3 linked regions of the Ovis aries genome follow. The protein of the gene in region 3 interacts with the protein of the main gene of each other region in a biochemical or structural test. Links are inferred from orthologs where the notes say so. Each region holds a gene or a part of one and is shown on either strand. Other genes may lie near its edges. The genes, in order: SEPTIN5, SNCAIP and PRKN.

Region 1 (6,527 bases), on a different chromosome or scaffold from region 3:
CTGGGGAACGGGGCTCGGGGCCAGGGATCATGCGGGTGGAAGGACGGGGACCAGGGACCCAGGGCGACAGCGCTGCTGCGGAGAGCAGGCCTCCCGCCGCTGATGGGCAAAGGGTGGGCCGGGCCGGGCTGCGGGGGAGGCGCGCGGGCATTCACTGAGAATCCCGGCCGCGTCACTGTCCCCTGCCGCCAGCTGACCTCCTTAGATCGGGAGGGAGCCTAATCACTTCCGCTCCCAACCTGTGCGCAGAGGTGTCTGGTGAGTGGCGGAAGGGGTAAGAAGGCCCTGGCCCACGGGGGCCCAAAGGGAGGCTCGGAGTAGGGAAACAGGCCAGGGTCCCGGGGATCGGCCCCCCACCCCCACGCTGCCTTGGTTCTCCCGCCCGTGTAAATAGGGCCTGGAGCCAGTTCAGTGACCTTCCGGTTGGGGGCAGATCTCAGAAGTCACCACCCAACCAAAGACGACTGGATGTGGGGGTGCCACCGTCCAGGCCGCTGGCAAGCAGATACAAACGAGGGGAGGGGCCGACGCTGACAATAAATTAGGGCTGGCTGGGGGCTGTGACCCAGCGTCTCTGAGAACAAGAGGGAAAAAAACCAGGTCTGGGCCACTCCGGGGTGGGGGGTCGCGTCCGGGCCTATGGGCGACCCAGACGAACCCGGCGTCGAGTCCAGGCCCGTCGGGGTCCAGGGGTGCGACAGGCCAGCCCGGAAGCCGGCAGCACAGGTATGGCGCGTGCGCTGCGGCGTCACTGGTCCTGCATCTGCAGCTTCATCTTCTGCAGCATTTCTTGCATCCGCCTTAGCTGGGGGCGGGGCAGGAGCGGCGGGGGCGGTGTGAGCGAGCGGTGGGCGGGGCCTGCCCTGCGCCCAGCCTGGCTCCGCCTCCACTCCCCGCCCACCAGCCTGGCCCCACCCACCCAGCCTCGCTCCTCCCCTCTCCCCGCCCACCACCCTGGCCCCACCCACCCAGCCTCGCTCCTCCCCTCTCCCCGCCCACCCACACTGGCTCCGCCCCTGCTCTCCGCCCACCTCCTCATCTTTCATTCTGATGAGCTTTTCAGTCTCGGCGTCAGGCGTGGGCAGTGGCAGGATGGGTATGGGGCTCTCCATGCGGCTGTCCTGCGTCAGCTTGCTGCAGGGTGGACACCGGGGACGAGGCTGCTGGAGGCCGGGCTGACCCTCGACACCAGCCGGCCCTGCGGCTCTCGCACCTCTGGGCGGGGCGGGGGCGGGGCGGGGCGGGGCGGGGCGGGGGCGCGCACCTGGTCATCTGCTGGATGCACTGCGCGCGGTAGTTCTCGTAGTGCACGTCGCAGGTCACGTCCTTGAGGTCGTGCATGTGCGTGCGGATTAGCATGTTGCGAAGCTTCACGAAGTCGCAGTGCGCCTGGTTCTCCACTGCGGGCGGGGGCGGCCGGTGAGTGGGCCACCGGTCCAGGGGAGCCTTCCCCCCCAAAGGCTGTGCCCCAGGCCTGGACTCACCCTCCACGATCCCCCAGGGGTACAGACGCCCCCGGACCCGCTGTCCCTTGGCCTCCACCACCGTGTTGCTGCCGATAACAGCGAAGGGTGCGCTCTCCTGGCCGGGGGGGCAGATGCAAGGGCTCAGCCCAGTTAGCATGGGTGTGAGGTCCGCGGTCCAAGAGGGGCATGGGTACGCCTCCATGTCCCCAACAATAGACTCTCCCCAAAAAGAACCTGTTATCCCCACCTTGGGCCTCTCTGTTGCCAGCTGAAGCCAGAGCTGGTGCCGCTTACATGGAGGGCTTTTGCCAGGCTGTGCCCAATCAGATGTAGCCTCCCTGCCTAGTACCCCTCCCCCTCCTTCCCCAGAGCGGAGCCTGTGCTGTTAGTGATACCCCTGCTGACTTTGGGGTGAAGGGCCTGCCCTGGTCCTGGCCTAGTGGCCACTTGTCCCCAGCTTGGCTTCTCCATCACCACTCAAAGCCACCTCCTGCCCCCAGAGCTCAGGACTCTGTGAGTTGGGGCATGCACATTCCCGGGGTATGAGAAGGGGGCTGAGTGCAGGGCCAGGGTGGGGCCTGGCCAGTGACTATGCCCTTGTATCCTGGCAAGCACTCCATGACCCAAGAACCACACAGGGCCCAAGCCACACTGGCCAGCAGGGACCTGAGCCATCCCCAGCTAAGACTCTACAGCCTGGATGAAAGTCTCACGTCCCCCCCGCCCCGACCCCCGCCCCAGGTCAGACCAGGGCCCCAGCACTCTTCTAGACCCGCTGTACAGTGGCCTCTGGGGTCCCCCCACGCGATGCAGGCTCACCTTCAGCTCCCTGTCCTGCTGCTTGAAGTCCTCATCCTCGTCCGAGTCGCACTCAGGAAACTGGTACACGTGGATCCCAAACTTGTCGATCTCTTCCCGGATCTGCAGCCAGCCAGGGCTGTCAGGGGAGGGGCCGGCGGCCTCAGTCCCCCCCTTGAGCCCTGCGGAGACCCCCACCCCCGCAGGCTCACCCGCTCTTTCAGCTTCCGGATCTCCCCTGGGACAAGACAGTCGGCCTTGGCGATGAGGGGCACGATGTTCACCTTCTCGTGCAGCGCCTTCATGAAGCCCACGTCCACCGGCCGCAGCCTGTGGGGGGGCCGGGGTGAGGGGCTCGCGGGGCGGGGGTGGCGGGGGGGGGGTGCCCGAGGCACGGGCGGGCCGCCTGGCCGGGGCGGCCACCTACCCGTGCCCGAAGGGGGAGATGAAGTAGAGGCAGCAGTGCACACGGTTGTCCTGGATGTTCTTGCGGTTGAGGCCGCTCTCGTCCCGGAAGTACTGCTCGAACTGCTGGTCCACGTAGTCAGTGACGGGCTTCCAGCTGGGGGTGGGCACGCGTGAGGCCGGCCGGGCTGGGGGCCGGGGGCTGGGGCCGCCCGGGCAAGCCTTCCTCACCACTCAGAGTTGTTGACGGCGTCCCCGAAGCCCGGCGTGTCCACGATGGTGAGCTTCAGCTTCACCCCCTTTTCTTCGATGTCCACCGTGTGCTTCAGGATCTCAACCGTCTGGCTGATGCGCTCTGGGGCGGGGGCCGGGGGGTGGTTTAGAGTGGCCTCTGCGGCCCCGACTCCTACCCCCGGGCACCCCAGACGCTCCCAGGTTACGTGGCCTGGCGGTGGTCTGGACCCACGCTTCGGGGACAGAGGATCGGGGCTGGACCTGGAAGGAGCCCTTGAGAGAGTCATCCAGCAGGGCTGTGGGGCCCACTCACCCTCGGCACTCAGCAGCTTCCGCTCCTTGTAGAGGTCCGTCAGGAAGAGGCTGTGGACCAACGTGGACTTCCCCAGGCCCGACTCCCCTGCCCACAGATGCAGTGGGGAGGTCAGGTCCCAGGCTCCAGACAGCATGGCTGCCCGTGCCCCTGCCCGACCTGGGGCCCGGCCCACTCACCGGCCACCATGAGCGTGAAGTCGAAGCCCTTCTTCACAGACTTGCGGTGCACCTGGTTGGGCAGTGTGGCAAAGCCCACGTACTGCTTGTCGACGTCCTGGCGGGGGCGGGGCAGGTCAGGGACACGCCCCGGTTCCCTGGGCAGCCCCGGGCCCTGCCCCTACCCCGCTCAGGCCAGGGAGGCAGCAGGGCAGGGTCCCCCGGGGAAGGGGCATCTCAGTAGCAGCAGCGGGTGAGGGTCTGTGGGCAAAGGACCCCCCTGAGGTGGGAGGCGGGTGGGCGTGAAGGGTAGTGGTGCCCTCAAGGGCTTCACAGAGATGGATCTGTGCCCGGAGCGGGGGCAACAGGCACACCCAGTGAGGCCGGTGTCCTTGGGTGGGGGGCAGAGGGCACCAGGACCCGGACCCCTCAGACATGCCCAAGGCCCTCCGAAGCTGGAGAAGCCCCCACCTGAATACTCACCCCTCTGCGAAAGTAGGGGGTGGGAGGCCCCATCTGGCCCCGATCCAGCCGCGGGGGTGGCTGGCTGCAGCAACGGTGGAGCTGGGGCTATTTATAGACAGCAGCCCCTGGCCTCCCCAAGGCCCGGCGCCCACCCCAGGACCCCAGGGCCCTGCAGCCCCTGTCATATCCCCAGTCCGGGCACCGGGGTGGGCGCACGCTGACCCACTTTCCGCGCCCCAATCCACACACACCTTGAGCCGCCTCTGGGCCTGGGTCCGCGGCGACAGCAGCGGCTCCACCAGGCGGTCTTGGGGCGCTGCCAGCGAGTCCATCCCCGCCAGCCTGGGGCCGTGCGGCCGCGCTGGGGCCCAGAGGGTCAGGCCAGCCCGCCGCCAGGCGTGCTCTCGCCCCGGGGGGCGCACGGACGCGGGCACCGGGGCCCGGGGCGGGGCGGCGCTCAGGCGATGCGCGACCCCGAGGCCCCCCTCGAGCCGCGGGTCCGGCCCCAGACGGCCAGCCCCGGGCACAAGCGGGTCCCTACGCCGGACGGGAGCGCGCGGTCTCCGGGAGACGGTCGCCTGGAAATGAGGCCGCGCGGGCGGAGCCACCGGAGCGGAGGAGGGCAGGGCCCAGCTCGGCGGGGCGGGCGGGCGGCTGCGCGCGGAGCGGCGCGGCTCGGGCCGTCAGCCCCGCGACTGCACGGCGGGGGCCGGTCCACGGCGGGTCCGCGCCGCCGCGCCCGCCGCCAGAGGGAGCCCCATCCGCGCGCTCCCGCCCGGCCCCCCGAAACTCCCCACAGACGCAGCCCTCCCTGCGCGCCCTGGCCCCCGCGCGTGTCCGGAGAATGCTTACCGCCGCGGCCCCTGAGACCAGCCGGGAACCTGCGAGGGTAGAGCCCGGCTCCCCACCCAGGCCCGCGTCGGGCCGGAGGGACAGTCACAGCCCTAGATGCCCGGCCCCCATCTCCTCTGCAAACGCGGAAGCTGTGGCCCCCCCAAACCCGCCGGCCAGCCCTGCTGGCCAGAAAGCTGCTGCCAGCCGAGGGGGGCTGATGGAGCGGACCCCTTCCCCGGGGGGGGGGCACTCTGAGCTTCCACCCTGCCCTCACCCCCAGGATTGGGCAATAGGGAGCCTGGGGGGCTCCAGCCAGCTCCACCCTCTTGCCTGTGCCGCGATGCCAGGGACCACGGGGGTCTCCTGAGCCGACAAACCCAGCGTCGCCCCCACCCCGCAGGCCCCCCACCAGAATCTGAACAGGCCAGACCAACGGGAAGGAGCTGGGCCTCCAAAGAGGTGGATGCCTCTGAACTCTTGTCAGTAGGGGCAGGAGGCCCCCACACCCTCACCCGCCCTCCCTTCCTGGCTCCCTGCTTAAGGGGCCTCTGTCCCCCAGTCCAGGCTGGAGCTGCTGCCATGGGGCCTGGAGGCTGCTGGCACCTGCGGAGGAGGGGTGGGTCCACTGCTGGGAACAGGGGCGCCTTTCATCCAAGAGGACGGCGGCGGGGGGGGCCACAGGCCACAGCCCGGCCCCGTGCCCTGGCTCCGAGAAATCACCCGCCACGTGCACCTGTGGGGGGTCTCCAGCATGAGTATCCCCCAGCCTCCAACCCCGGGCGCCACCTTAGACACGGCTCCTAGGCCCAGTTCCTGCCGGGTGGACAAGCTAACCTCTCGGGCCCGGGGCACCTCCGAGGACAGAGCCAGGCCTGGCCTCATCTCTCCACACCCTGGGGCCTGAAGAGTGCACTGCCCAGACGGCCTTGGTTTGCCCACTGGTAAGGAACAGCCTCGGGAGGCCCGGGACGGGACAAGCCCAGCCCCTGCCAGCCTGGCCCGCACCCCACCTCACCCGCGCAGGGCTGGGGATTCCCTGGGGGTCCCCAAGGAGAGGGCCCTGCCGCCCGCTTTGTCTGGTCCTCGAGGCACAACAGACACTCCCGAGGACTCAGTGCCGCGCCCACCTCCTCCCCACCGCCTGGTGCCTGACACTCTCAAGGCGTTTTCATTCTTAGAATCTCCCCATCGGCTCTGGGGACGGGAGCCAGAGCCAGGGGAACCACCACTTTCGCTGAAAGGGGTTGCGGTGGGGGAGGGTACAGGGGACCACCAGAGCCCCCACCCCGTGCCTCAGATGGTGGGCACGGAGGGGTCCATCGAGTCCCCCTCTTTCCTGGAGGGGCGACAGGCTGAGGCTCAGAACGCCAACAATGGAACAGTGAAGACCCACGGGGACCCTGCCCCAAAAGCCTGGCTCCTGGCCCCAATCCCGGGGGGACCCTACATGCCACCCACATCACGCCCTCTGCCTCAGGCCCCGGGGGCAGGCATGGGTGAGGCCGGTCCTAGCTGAGCTCCAGGTGGGGCAGACACCAGCCCAGAGGGGCTGGAGTCCCAGCAGGGAACCCCAAGTGCCCGCAGGCCCCGGAGTAGGGGGCCGGTCTCCCGGGGCTTGCCCCGTCTCTCCCTGAACAATGGCAGGCTGGCGGGCTGGCCCTGTGCCTCCTGCATTGTTTGACCCGCAGCATGGGCAGGCAGCTCCTGGCCCTGGCTCCCCAGGGAGCCCCTTGCTGGCAGGGTGAAGATGAGAGGCCCCTCCCCACGAGCCTCCCCCGGCCCAGGGCGCAGTCGGCAACTCCCAGCGCCAGCTCCACCTGCCAGGCCGCTCCGCCCACCTGCCACACCTGGGCC
Region 2 (6,527 bases), on a different chromosome or scaffold from region 3:
TCATCCAAACTACCAGGTGACTGAAGATATCAGAGGAACTCAGCCAAGAGCAGCAGCAGAACCACCTCACTGAACCCGGCTTGAACTACCAACCACACAATTGCAAGCAATACAGTCATTTTAAGCAATGATTTGGGGATGATTTGTTACACAGCAATGGATAACCGGAAAAACATCTAAGCTGACTTGGTTACTTTCTCATGGGAATTCCTTTTCAATTACTGCTCACTGTCTTGTGCAATTAATCATAAAATATTAGTCAATCAGCACTTTTCCAGGACCCAGCTGTCAATCATATCAATTAAAAATCAAAAAATTAATCATTTCAACACATATTTTGATCAATTTTAAAAGCTTAAAAAGGAGTGATAAGATATATAAATTATAAAATATAAAATCCTGTTATCTACAGGCATGAAATCATGCATAGTATACATATTAGTAACCACTTTATTGAATCATTTCCAGAAAATAAATTCTTGCAAGTAGAATCTGCACACCAATCTAAGGGGCACAAGGAAACAAGCATGTAAAGGTACAAGTTCCACAGAAGCAAATGTTTGATTTTCACCAGGAAATTATTTTTCTCCCAAGACACCTATTCCTCCTATGTGGTTTGCAACCCTAATCTGACAGACTGCCAAAAAACAAACTTTCTATTCTAAGAGTGTCACTTGATTCTCTTGTTGCTATTCAATTAGATTTTGCATTTAAAAGAAAAAATTCCCTGGTGTTTCTTATAATGATGCACCTGCTCCTTGGGAGATTTCCTCTTTTGACAAGAAATGCCTTCAATCTGGCAAGAAAAATGACTCTAGGCTTTCTCTGATAATATCAAAGATCATTTGTTTGTATTAGATGTTTATGTGGGTTTTCCTCCTCTTAAGAGCAGTAAAATACTGCTGCAATTCCCTCCAAGACAACAGTGCACAGAAAGTTTCTTGGCCTCTGTCCTGAATTTCCACTGTACACCTGCACAAGACCAACTAGTGGAAAGTGGCAGAGCTATGACACAGTAGGCAGAGAAACTCATTTGCCTTAGCCCCTTCCTTTTGGACATCCATACACAGTAGCAAATGTCAAATCAATAACTGCAGCATCATTTCAAATCTACCATATTGTAACCTTTCCTCATGAAATGCTTGCTCTAGACAAAATGAAGTTTATGTTCAAAGCTGTATTATTTATTTTTTTATATTTTATTTCTAACTGAGATGTCCAAAGATCCTTAAGAGAAGCACCATCTTCTTTCTGTGTCTAGACTTGAAACTCCTACATATTTGGGTAATCTTCAGTTAATACTGCCTTCCAGAGAGACTTCTGCAATGGGAACAAAATGTCACACTTTTTCAAATAAAGGACACCTGAAGGGTGTCTCCCTAGACTCCAGCCAGGCTGAACGTAATTTAACATTGAGATGCATCAGAAGTACCCAACAGACATTCTCTAGATGTGAACCCATTAGCATACTGCTTTCCTAAACCTTATCCTCTCTGTCTTTGAAAATTTCAATATATACAAAGGAAATACAGATTTCAACCCATTCCCAACTGGGACGTCTGCTCCATAATAAGAGAAATAGGTTTTTGCCTTTCTGCAGATTCAGCAGGGAAAGCCATGCTTGAAAATGATGTGTTTAGAGTGACACCTTGGAGAACTGACACCCTCTGCACACATGCAATCCTCATAAACCTCCCCAGACAGCCCTTATTTCATTCTGCACACTGCACCCTGGCTGGGCTCCACAGCACATGGTGTGTGGTGAGACTGTCCTGCAGTGGTTCTCCCTTCCTGGCGGCTCTTTGATGGACAGTTGTCGGTAATAGCCAGGAGGAGAGGGGTCCAGCCACCAGCAAGTGAAAAACGGGCCACCGACAGTAAGCTTCCTTAATTAACTTTCCCAAGGCAAGCCTGTTCCCACAGGAAAAAACACCACGTTTCCCCTCTCCTAGCGGTCCATTGAAAATGAGCAACAATGCTGTTGCCTTTTTGTTTCCTAAAGACTTTCTTCCCCGCAAGCAGTAGCGTGTTCCTCAAAGAATGCTAGTATTTCCTGTGGAAACTGTATGGCTGCCAGTAATGGCTCATAATTTTCCCTCTTTTCCTTTCGTAAAAATGAAATAAACAAAACGTGGCATTTGACAATAGCCAAATTACCAGTCACCTCGCTTACCACCTGCAGATGAGAGACATCACCGCGAAAGGAGGCCAGGAGAGAAACACTCCTGGCTACAATTGACCCGGACGAGCGGGGAACACAGGACAGCGCCCGAGGGTGGTGCCCTAGAGAACCGGGCAGCCAGCGGGCGGCGGTGCCCAAGAGCGAGGGGCTCCCCTTGGGCCGCGCGGCAACCCCAGGCGTCCCTCTTTCGCGATTACTATTATTGTCGGTACTGTTTCTGTGACTATTACTTCGTCCCTGGTTACCTCAGTTCTTAGGAGCCTCGGCACTGCCCATCCCTGCCTCCCACACCATCCCAGGTGGCAGGAAGAAGAATAACCACACGAAACCGGCAAAGGAAAAGAGCAATCCTTTGGAACCTGAGGTGGGGGCTCCTCCCCCCTCCCTCAAGAAGAAGAGAAGCCGCTTGGCAGGCGCCGCCAACGTTACTATAGAGACCTCCCCCCAAACCCTTTCTGCAGAGGCACCGCCGCCACTCGAGCCGCCGGGATTCGCCGCACAAAGGGGCCCCCCCGGGGCTCACGGCGGGGCGGGGGGCACCCCCGCCCGGGTCGCCCGGTGCAAACTTGGAAAGGCTCAGTCGCTCGCGCCGTCGCGCCCCACCCCCGTCTCCCCGCGGCGCCCACCCCGGGACCTGGACTCACCCCGGGCGCCCGGCGCTGCGGCTGCTCAAAAATGCGGACGGACGGACGGACCGACGGACAGATGGACGGCGGCGGCGGGAGCAGGAACCGCGGGAGCCGGCGGGCGGCGGCCGCGCTGCCGCGGCCCCGCTACGTCACAATGCGGCCGGGCCTCCGGCGCCGCTCCCCCCCGGGCCCCCCAGCGGGCGCGCGGCAGCGGGAGGAGGGCAGCCCCGGGGCGGCGGGCGCGGACCTGGCGCGGAGGGACGCGGGGCGCCGAGCGCGGCGCACCGCCGGGCGGGGGCGCGGTCTGCACGGCCGCGGCCGCCGCGCCCTCCCGCCGCCGCCGCGCGCCCGGCGCCCGCCCCCCGGCCCGCGAGCCCCGCGCGGCCTGACTGACGGCGACCCTCCCCCGCCCGCCCCGCGGCGCCCGCCGCGCGGCGGCCCCCAGCCCCGGCCGCGCAGCCTCCGCGCCCGCGAACCTGCTCTTTTCTCCTGTACCTTTGGCCCTCGCACCTCTGTGTCTCTGCTGCTCAACTGGCTGTCTCCGATCTCCTCCCCTCGCACTTTTTACCCCCTTTCGCCTCCGCCCCCCACCCGCGCTGGGCGGCCTCTCCCCCCACCCCCGGGAGATGAAATCGCCCCTCACCGTGATCCCTGCGTCAACCGCTGCCATCTCATTGGTCCCCAACCCATTCCAGGGTTCCAGCCTCGGCCGGGCAGAGACACTCGGGCAGGGGGCGACGGAACATGGGCACGGTCCTGGGAAACGGCCCTGCTTCAGGAGCCCCTTGGCAGAGGATCTTTGCGTTGGCACAGTCCTAAACCCCAATCCTCCCCGCCCGCCCCCAACCCGGTCTCGCCCACCCTCGAGGACTTCGCCAAGGAAGGCAGGCTGAGGGGTCTTTGCCCGGAAGGTTCCGTGCTCGAGTATGGGTGGTGGATGGAGGAGACTTTGGTCTGAACTGATGGTGTTTCTAATTCAGCAACGTTTAATACACCGACGGCCCTTTAGTAATATGAACTTTAAGCAGCTCTGTCTTGATTGGGAGGGGGCGGGGAGCTGCTGGACGAGGCATCCGTCAGTCAGCACTGGTGACTGACTCTTTCCTTCCTTATTTCCGAAGTGAAGTCTGGAGGAGTGGAACCATTGATGCTAACCTTGGCTCACGATCGTCTCGCTCTTGCCCTTTGGAAAGCTTTAAATGGTTTTTAAGAAGGCTCTTTCCCCACCCCGGCAGAAATGGCTCAGAGAAGCTCACTCAGCAAAGCCTTTGAGGGCCACTGTCCTGCTCCTGGGTGTGGCCGCTTGTCTGATGCTGCTCCAGAGCAAAGTGTGAGGAAGCAAGTTCTCTCGTCTGTCTGCTTAGGGGCCGCCTGGTTCCCTTGCCAACTCCGGAGGACAAGAGTGGCGCAGCGATCCTGGGAAATTTGACCCCATCTGGGTTAGTGGCAGTGGGATGTATAGCATGTGTAAGGCTGTCACTGAAAACATATTACCAGTAAAAAAGGAAGGGCATGGTTGTTTAAAAACTGTGGTTGCCTGGATGACTAGTGTAGTCCCTGCGAGGTCCGGGGGCTGCTGTGTTGGCGCTGCAGGGAAGAGGCCCCTGTACTATCCGAGGACACACCCAGCCCTCCCTGCCCTGGACCTCTTTGGATGAGGAGTACATAGTCTCTGAAATAAGGACTGCCTTGAAGGCCAGCAGAAGACATTTCACATGCTTTTGATTCCATTTCCAATTGAGAAACTAAATTTCTCTCTCTGCTGTCTTACATAAACAGCCGAAAGTATGTTCTGCCGGTGTGGTAATTTGTTTACTGTAATTCATCATATATAAGACTTTAAGTACATACACGGAAAGTGGCTTCACAATTTGAAAATACCCACTATCCCTCAGAAAATGTAAAATCAGATGACATCATATGGCACTAAAAAATACTTGAAAATATTGGGTTTAATTCTTTCACATCTGGTTAAAATAAAAATGCCTTTTTTTTTTTTTTTGCCTACTATAAACTCTCAGAAAAGCACATCTTGCTTCCATCCAGTAGATATGGATGGAGTTGGTGTCACCCTTGATATGTTCTATACACAACACACTTTTATTGCCATCCTCTTAAATATTTTGACAGCCTGCTTTTGAAAAATCAAATTTTAACATTGAAGGAGTAATTTTTTGAAGTTATACATGGCTATCTCCTTCCAACTGCCTTAAACATCTAACAGTAAGTAGACCAGTGTTACCTCAGTGTAAACGGTTCAACAAAGAATGGCTATGATCCTGTTACATGGACAGAAAACATTGCTGAGGAGAGAAAATATCGGTTTTGTGTAGCGAAGGAAGAGCATGCTATAGTCTAAAAAAGCAGTCTTGAGATATTGTTTCAGAAATTTTCCCATTTTTTTTAAACTTCTTTTGTTATGGTTCATTCTAACATGTATTTGATTGCATATTTACCATTGTTTCCCTGTGATTATTTTTACACTGTGCCTTAAACCTATGCTTATACACACAGGCAATGAGTTTGCTTTCACTTGGACCATTTGTTGGCTTGCTTCTCCTGTGCACAGTCTTGCCAAATCCTAAACCACAAACTGATACACCAAAGTGCAGAAGTAGTGAAGTAACTGGAGTTGAAACAGAGCTGCTAGATTTTAGATTGGATGGCAAGTAAGCTGGCTTTCTCAAAATAATGCTGACTTTTTATTAAGTTAATAAGTTGCTCTGCCCACTCCTTCAGTGGCTTCTTACTACCAACTACTCTCTGACACTCAGTTTTCTATTCAAGCAGCTGCCTCTACAGGCTAGTACTAACTATGGAATGGCTTAGCAGCCATAGCTACTAGATCATTTACCCCTTTTTAGAACTCCCAGGCCTGCACAGCTTGGAGTGTGCAACTCTTAGAACACTTATTTCTGCTTCACGTCCATTTCTTCTCCCCTACTATTCAGTTGTCAGTTTCCATTCATGCCAGGGAGTTCATATTACTCATATTTGGATCTTCATCACTGAGCAGATTTTTATATTCAAGAGTTAGCTACTGAAAATAATTAGTACAGAAATTCATTTCACTGTAAATCATCTGCCAAAGAGCTGCCATGTAATTATTCATTCAATTATTACAATTAAACAGCTGCCTCTTTCTTTTTACCCAGTTTCCATAATATATCTTTATTGTGCTACAAAAATTGAATAAACCTGCTACAACACTGCCAACGATCAAATAGAAACTGTTCTTTTTTCTTTTCTTTTTCCCATTCTTTAAGTGTTGATTTGCTTAATAAGACATCCACCTCTGCATTAAAGGCTCTGATTTTTATTTCTCATTGCAGAGTGTGAATCACTGAAGAAAGCCCTGTTTGTGGTCCTTTCTGATTTCTGGTTGGAACCTATAATTCAGTTGGGCCCGTGCTTTTGGGCTTTCCAGGTGGCTTAGTGGGGAAAGAGTCCAGCGGCAATGCAGGAGTCGCAGGAGACATGAGTTCTATCTCTGGGTTGGGAAGATCGCCTGGAGAAGGAAACAACAACCCATTCCAGTATTCTTGCCTGGGGAATCTCATGGACAGAGGAGCCCGAGAGGTATAGTCCAGTGGGGTTGCAAAGAGTCTGACAAGACTTAGCACCTAAACAACAATGTATCAAGAATACTTCACATGCAAATATAATTGTATCAGTCATGATAGGTTAGGTTATACTATAGTAACAAACATTCAGGA
Region 3 (6,527 bases):
GGAAAGGTTTTATTTCTTGTACCACTGAAGTTAGGATATATAAAGTGTCTTTCTTTTGTCAAGATCTGTCCATTGTTGTTAGTGGTAGCTTTCCTTGGAGTTTTAAGGACTGGGCTTTGTTTTGCTGATCACAAATCCCCAGAACTGGGCTTTGCAAGATTTAGAAGTTTAGAAACAAACAAAATTATCATTGATTGAATGAATGGATGGACAATATTTTCATCTAACAATTATGATTCCCACTAAATGAAGTGAAAGAATGACACATCCTCTTTAGAAGATCCCCGAGGAGACATTATTATCACACTAAGGGATTTTCCGTAAGTATATGGAGACAAGAAGATAATGTACCTCAAATAAGTTATTTATAATTAAGGCTGCTTCATAATCAGTTTTTTGTGTTGTTGTTTGAGTCTTGTTACATTTCACAATACTGAAATATTTGATTTTCCAGAATTATGACTTTAGGTGAAAGGCTAGGTTTCTAAAAAATAAACACGATTATACATACACTTTTTCTAAAAAAAAGAATCTGGTCAATTTTGTACATGTCTTTGAAGAAACATAACATTTTGGGAAAAATCATTAAAATTATATATACTGAGTAGAAGGAAAAAAAAGAAATAATTAGCTTGAATGTTATGGCATTCTGTGTTGCTGATAAACTAATCATCTTGGCTCCCATGATCACCTGTTTACAAGATATACTCACAAAAGGACCGCAGTTACAACAAGCAGAAAGTTTTAGTCTATTTCTGGGAATAACTATTGCAATGCAACTAACACACATTCCAATAATTAGAATTTCATTTTGTGTAGCAATGTGGAAATCTGGCCTGTGGGTCTTAAGGTGATCTATTTCATTTGCATATTTTAAGGATGTAGTTTAGGAATAATGTATTAAGTTTGCAACATTTATGTGAAACAAATAATGTGACACTGGAAAGCAATGCTATTCATTCAACATATGAGTTGCTACACAATAAATCAGACCCTCCCAGAGTGTAAATTACACAAATTTGAAAGCTGCATTTATTATTGAATATATCATTCTCAGCCAGGTGCTTAGTCAGTAGGAAAACCTGGTGTAGCACACATTTAAAGCTTTTTTTTTAAAACTGTTATGCATATACTGAAACCTGCCATGTGCAGTTTAAACTTTTCCCCCCTAATACTATTGAGAATAATGGATTTTTACTACCACAAAACAATAGAAATGAAATATGAATTGTATTAATAGTCAGAAGTATTTGCATCAAATCTTGGAAATTTTAAAATTAAAAGTTTAAAAGGTCTATTTGGAAACAGACTTCTTATTAAGTTGCTTCTCAGTACTCTAACATGCCTTTTCGTGAGAATCTTATTAGAAAAAATGCTAGGATATTCTTATAATATCTAGGTTGAATTGATAAAATTTCTTACTGTTAATGAGTTTGGGTTCCCAGCTGTACATCAGAAATGTTAAATTTTGCAAGGGAGTTCATGATTTCCAAGCCTTCTCCTTCTATTAAGGCGCTTTTCTGAGTGGGGCTAGTTTAGGAATCAATAAGTAAAGGGGATCTTTCTTTGTGTATATAGCTGAAGCATAGATTCAGGTGGTCTAGAAACCCTGAGTTATTAGGAAGGTGCTTAGAAACGAGCACAGTACATCAGTTGCCCGAGACTCCTTCTTAACATCCCAGCCTGGACCTCCACACTCTGTTGGGCACCGTCTGCCACTGGCCGAATAAATTGCCATTTTGGGCGAAGACCACCCAGGACATGGGCTCAGAATCCATCCTAGGGCCAGCCAATCTCTGCAACCTGGGGTCCCCTGACTGGGAGCGAGTGCATTCGATTCGGGAAGATCACTTACGACTGAGTTTTTCATCATGGCTTTGACTGTGAAGCCCTCAGAAACCAGGGAGTGAGGCTGGTGCACCGGGAGCGGCTGCTGTGCCAGGAGCTTGGTCTTCGTCGGCAGCTTGGCTGGGCATTTGTTTAAGCTCAGGGTCTCTTTTTCTGCCACCATCTTCCTAGAAAATGTCTTGTTCTCATACAACGTGTAGTAAAAGAGTCAGTGAGATTTATGGATGTGAGGAGGAGGTCGGGGGGAAAAAATGGAAAAAGGCGCGTTAATGGTAGAAATTCAACCCCTTCGTAGCAGTGGTCGATCCAGATGTTTGGCAGCTCCTAGGTGCTGGGAGTTGAGGGGAAGGGAGGGGCGGGAAGAGGGCAGGGCCGAGGCCAGAGCTGCCACAAGCTTCCAAAGGTAACCCTCCCGGTTGCTAAGCGACGCGTCAACACTGAGGCCGGATGGCCCCGCCTCCCGGTGACGTATACGTTTCCTGGGCCTCAGGCCGGAAGGGCGGGCGGCGGGCGGCGACTGACCCGAGGCGGTACTTAACGAGTGAAAACTACGACTCCCAGAAGGCCGCGGGCGGCACGCCGTTCGCGCGTGCGCGTTTCGAGGGCCGGGCGCCGGGAGGAGGGGGAGGGGGAGGGGCGTCCCGGACGATTTAACCCCGGAGCGCCGCTCGTGTGAGGCGCAGGCGGGCGCCCGGGTGCGAGTGGGACCCTGCTCGCCTGGCGGGCCGCGTCCGCCTGCCCAGTGGCCATGATAGGTACGTGGGTACCTGCCAGGTACAGCGTCTCTGCGCCGCCCCTCTCGGCGGGGACCCCCCCCACCCCGGGTGCCCGCTGTCAGTGGCGGGTGGCGGTGTCCGCGCTCCCCTCAGCCCGCGCCGCCGGCTCCCCGAGAAGACGTGTGTGTCTCTGTCCCAAGCCCCGCCCGCGCCCGCCTTGCCAGGCTTCTTCCCGGAGACGCCTTCGCCAGGGGGGCCCAGCGCGGGCGTCCGTGGGGAAGCCCCTCTTCCCGCCGCCCGCTCGAGCGCGGGGGTCCGTAGGGAACCCCCTCTTCCCGCGCCAACTCGGGGCGCCTTGGGGGGCTGTCTTCCCGCTGAGGACGGGGCGGGGGGACCCACACTGTCCGGGGAGCTCTTGAAGGGAAACCTTAGCGAAGCGCTAAACTCTTGATAGACCGGTGCCTGGTGATGGTGCTTGAGGTCAAAAGAAATTCCCGCAGGTGGATTTGAACTTCTTACACTCTTGGATTTTTGTCTTCTAGATAATCTCTTTGGAGGTCTGAGATGAAAGAATAATTAATAGTGAATGATAGTAAGGATTAAAACTTCCAGCATGATGAATTTACGATTCATTATGCAACAACCTTTTTTAAAATATATATATATATAAATCTTTATATATACATGTATATATATACACACACACACAGAATGACCTAGCTGCATTTTTGTGAATAAAGCTTTGGAAGTGGCTGTTAGAATTGCTTGTAATCACTGTAGTAAAGAAGACTGGAAAAGTCCCCCTTTTCCAGGATTGTTAAGCCAAAAATTAGTTTATCTCTGAAAATTAGTGGAAATATACGATGTGATTACAAAACATTGCTCCTTGGGGAGTTTATTATGACAGATTTCCTCTAGACTGTGTGTTAATTGGTTTGGTGAGGTTTTTTTTTTTGGGGGGGGCGAGTTATTCTTGACTGGGTGCCGCTTAAAGCACTTTTGATTGCCTCAGGTGCGTGTGAATGTAGTTTATCCAAGAAGATGGAAGGTGATTTTTAAAAGTAAGTTTCTACATACTGATAAACTCTTCTTACATCAGTTATTTATTAGACTAATGTTAAAATCTGAAACGTTCTATCCAACACTAGGAGGAATATGCCAGCTAACCGACACTGCAACAATGTAAAACCTGAGGATGTTGTCCAGTTTTTCCTACTTTTCTAACATGATGTGGTTTCTGATGAATGGGTTATCTAATTAAGAAAAATATATAAGGTTTTGTGAATATTTTGACCTTTTTTAGGTGACAGTTACACGAGATTCATTTTCTAACGCAAATCTAAACTGAATCAGAAAAATATGAAAATTTCCAAAATTCATGCTGTCCATATTTTACAGGGAAAAAATAGTCTACACCTTGTCTTGAAGACAGTTGTACAGATTTTATTGTAATTGAACATAATCTGATACATGGATAATTCTAAAAGAAATAAATTTACAGTAAAGCTATTTAGGGGCTTCCCCAGTGATACTAGTGGTAAAGAACCTGACTCTGTGCAGGAGATATAAGAGACGCAGGTTCTGTCCCTGGATCGGGAAGATCCCCTGGAGGAGGGCATGGAAACCCACTCCAGTATTCATGCCTGGAGAATCCCATGGACAAAGAAGCCTGGTGGGCTACAGGCCATATGGTCGCAAAGAGTTGGATATGACTGAAGCAACCTAGCACGCTCACACGCAAAGCTATGTAAAGGCAAGAATTTAAGATCTAAAAGTCATCAGTTAATTCTGAATTATTCTCTAAGATGATTATATAAATAATGTTGTTAGAATGAACTATGTTTAGGTGGTTTAGTTTGGGATTTAGGGACACAGGAAGGAAGAGTATTATCTTTAGATCTGATGATTAGACATTTCTTAATCACTGGTAGTGCCATGGAGAATATAAGGTGGTATTTTAAAAGTGTTGTTTCTCATACTCCAGCTATTGTTTTACACGCTGCAAATAAGTATAACATAAATAATTAAATCCATGTACTCTCCTGAGAAAAATACTTCACATGTTAAAGCCATGTGGATAATATACAATAAATTATTCTGTACAGCTACTCAACTAGTTGCATTGCCTAATTCTGTCAGTGGGTATATTGTAATAAAAATCTTAATTGCCAATTTTGGGCTTGGTTATGTTGAATAATGCCAAAGGTAAGTGAAAGTGGGAGCAATTGAAGGAAGGTCTTGGAGTGATGAGTTTCCCATTTCTGATAAAACTTTGGAGCCAGGAAAGGCATTATAGTCTATATCCAGTGATATACGGAAGATTAAACATATTCACTAATATATATATGGGGATGATTTTATTTTTTGTTTACCGACATGTGTGCTACTCAGGTGGCGCCAGTGGTAAGCAACCTGCCTGCCAGTGCGGGAGACATGAGAGATGCGGGTTCCATCCCCGGGTCAGGAAGAATCCCTGGAGGAGGAAATGGGGGTCCGTGGGGGACCCCCACAGCAATTGATTTCCTCACTACCAATAAAATTATCTTCCTTTACCTTCTCAAAACTCACGATTCTTTCTTGTCACAGAGACTGTTTCAAAAGTACTACATGTCCCAGTTAGATTAATATGTTAAATGCCCTGACTCAGCTACAGAAACAACTTAAGTAGGTGAAAAATTATTATTTTTTGAGAAATATGGAGAGGACTGTAAATAAACCAGAATAAAAAGCTTAAGAAAATTCAACTAAGAAAAAAATATAAATTTTGGCATTTCTCTTAAAATTATATTTCACCCTTTTAAAATTAACAGTGTTTGTGTTTAAAACTGAGTTTTAATAGTGACATTTGTGGTATCCTATATGTATGTTGCATTGAACTAAATTTAGGTATTTCAGTAGGATCAGATGTCCTCATGTACACCCAGTAGAGGAGTGTGTGCCTGCTAAGTCACATCAGTCCTATCTGACTCTTTGCGACCCCATGGACTGTAGCCCTCCAGGCTCCTCTGTCCATGGGATTCTCCAGGCAGGAATACTGGAGTGGATTGCCCTGCTGTCCTCCAGGGGATCTTCCTGACCCAGGTCTCCTGTGGATCCTGCACTGCAGGTGGATTCTTTACCACTGAGCCGCCAGGGAAGCCCTGAAGTACATGGAAATACATATATATAATTATGTTGCCAATATTGAAATTCAAACTCAATGTCTTAAAAATGATTTTTAGTGATCTAAAAAAAATAATAATTAGAACAATCTTTTTTGTACTTTGTTTAACTTGACAGCTCTTAGAAAACTTATGAATCTGTGTGTGCAGATGGACCCTACAGTTACTCCTGTCTAGTATTTAATGGATATACATAAATTATGTAGATAGTCTCCAATAAATGAGCATACGGTAGGTTTTCAGATAGTTGCTATCATTAGGAGTGTTTGTGTCCATATGACTTTATTTGCTTATGTAAGCTCATATGTAAAGTAAAAAGATTACAAGCTCTGAGTGGATTTTCTAGTTAAAAGGTTTGTAGAGGGACTTCCCTGGTGGCCCAGTGGCTAAGACTCTGCATTCCTAGTGCAGGGGGCCTGGGTTCCATCCCTGGTCAAGGAGCTAAATCTCACATGCGGCGTGCCTCAGTGAAGACCAAGGATCCCACGTGCCCCACTGAAACCCAGAACAGCCAAATAAATAAATACATATTTTAAAAAGAAAGATTCATAGATTTTGAATTTTGCTAGGTATTTCCAAATTGTTTAAAAGAAATCACCATGTTTTACACTTCTGTCCACCATAGCAAGGCAGCAAAGAGCTATCCTACTCGTGTGAGCTGAAGAAATTACAAAAAGACATCCTCCCCAGAACTGACCCAGCCTTCCACAGCAAAGCACCTGCTGGGTTTGCCCTCTCCTGCCCCGTCCCCACCCTAAACTTACTGCCTTTAAACAGTGCTGGAAGCTCACAACTGTCCGTG

Evidence for each region.
Region 1: of the proteins of PRKN (region 3) and SEPTIN5, one has a biochemical effect on the other in vitro, tested with the Homo sapiens proteins (2 studies listed by BioGRID). The link is inferred for Ovis aries from reciprocal best matches to the Homo sapiens genes PRKN and SEPTIN5.
Region 2: of the proteins of PRKN (region 3) and SNCAIP, one has a biochemical effect on the other in vitro, tested with the Homo sapiens proteins (3 studies listed by BioGRID). The link is inferred for Ovis aries from reciprocal best matches to the Homo sapiens genes PRKN and SNCAIP.

Annotation. Positions count from the first base shown.
Region 1 is NC_056070.1:72,822,012-72,828,538, reverse strand, and holds the start of SEPTIN5 (septin-5), read right to left. Parts: upstream 4,426-6,527; 5' UTR 4,172-4,425; coding exon 4,091-4,171; exon of another isoform or gene 3,891-4,090; coding exon of another isoform or gene 3,858-3,890; intron 3,493-3,857; coding exon 3,396-3,492; intron 3,304-3,395; coding exon 3,217-3,303; intron 3,025-3,216; coding exon 2,901-3,024; intron 2,827-2,900; coding exon 2,692-2,826; intron 2,595-2,691; coding exon 2,477-2,594; intron 2,388-2,476; coding exon 2,286-2,387; intron 1,582-2,285; coding exon 1,485-1,581; intron 1,401-1,484; coding exon 1,265-1,400; intron 1,135-1,264; coding exon 1,032-1,134; intron 806-1,031; coding exon 749-805; 3' UTR 1-748. UniProt on the Homo sapiens protein: Filament-forming cytoskeletal GTPase. May play a role in cytokinesis. May play a role in platelet secretion.
Region 2 is NC_056058.1:29,242,273-29,248,799, forward strand, and holds the start of SNCAIP (synphilin-1), read right to left. Parts: upstream 3,796-6,527; 5' UTR 3,455-3,795; intron 3,349-3,454; exon of another isoform or gene 3,288-3,348; intron 2,970-3,287; exon of another isoform or gene 2,827-2,969; intron 1-2,826. UniProt on the Homo sapiens protein: Isoform 2 inhibits the ubiquitin ligase activity of SIAH1 and inhibits proteasomal degradation of target proteins. Isoform 2 inhibits autoubiquitination and proteasomal degradation of SIAH1, and thereby increases cellular levels of SIAH.
Region 3 is NC_056061.1:85,933,987-85,940,513, reverse strand, and holds the start of PRKN (E3 ubiquitin-protein ligase parkin), read left to right. Parts: upstream 1-2,495; 5' UTR 2,496-2,596; coding exon 2,597-2,603; intron 2,604-6,527. Other genes in the region: PACRG (parkin coregulated gene protein), read right to left, coding at 1,856-2,011. UniProt on the Homo sapiens protein: Functions within a multiprotein E3 ubiquitin ligase complex, catalyzing the covalent attachment of ubiquitin moieties onto substrate proteins. Substrates include SYT11 and VDAC1.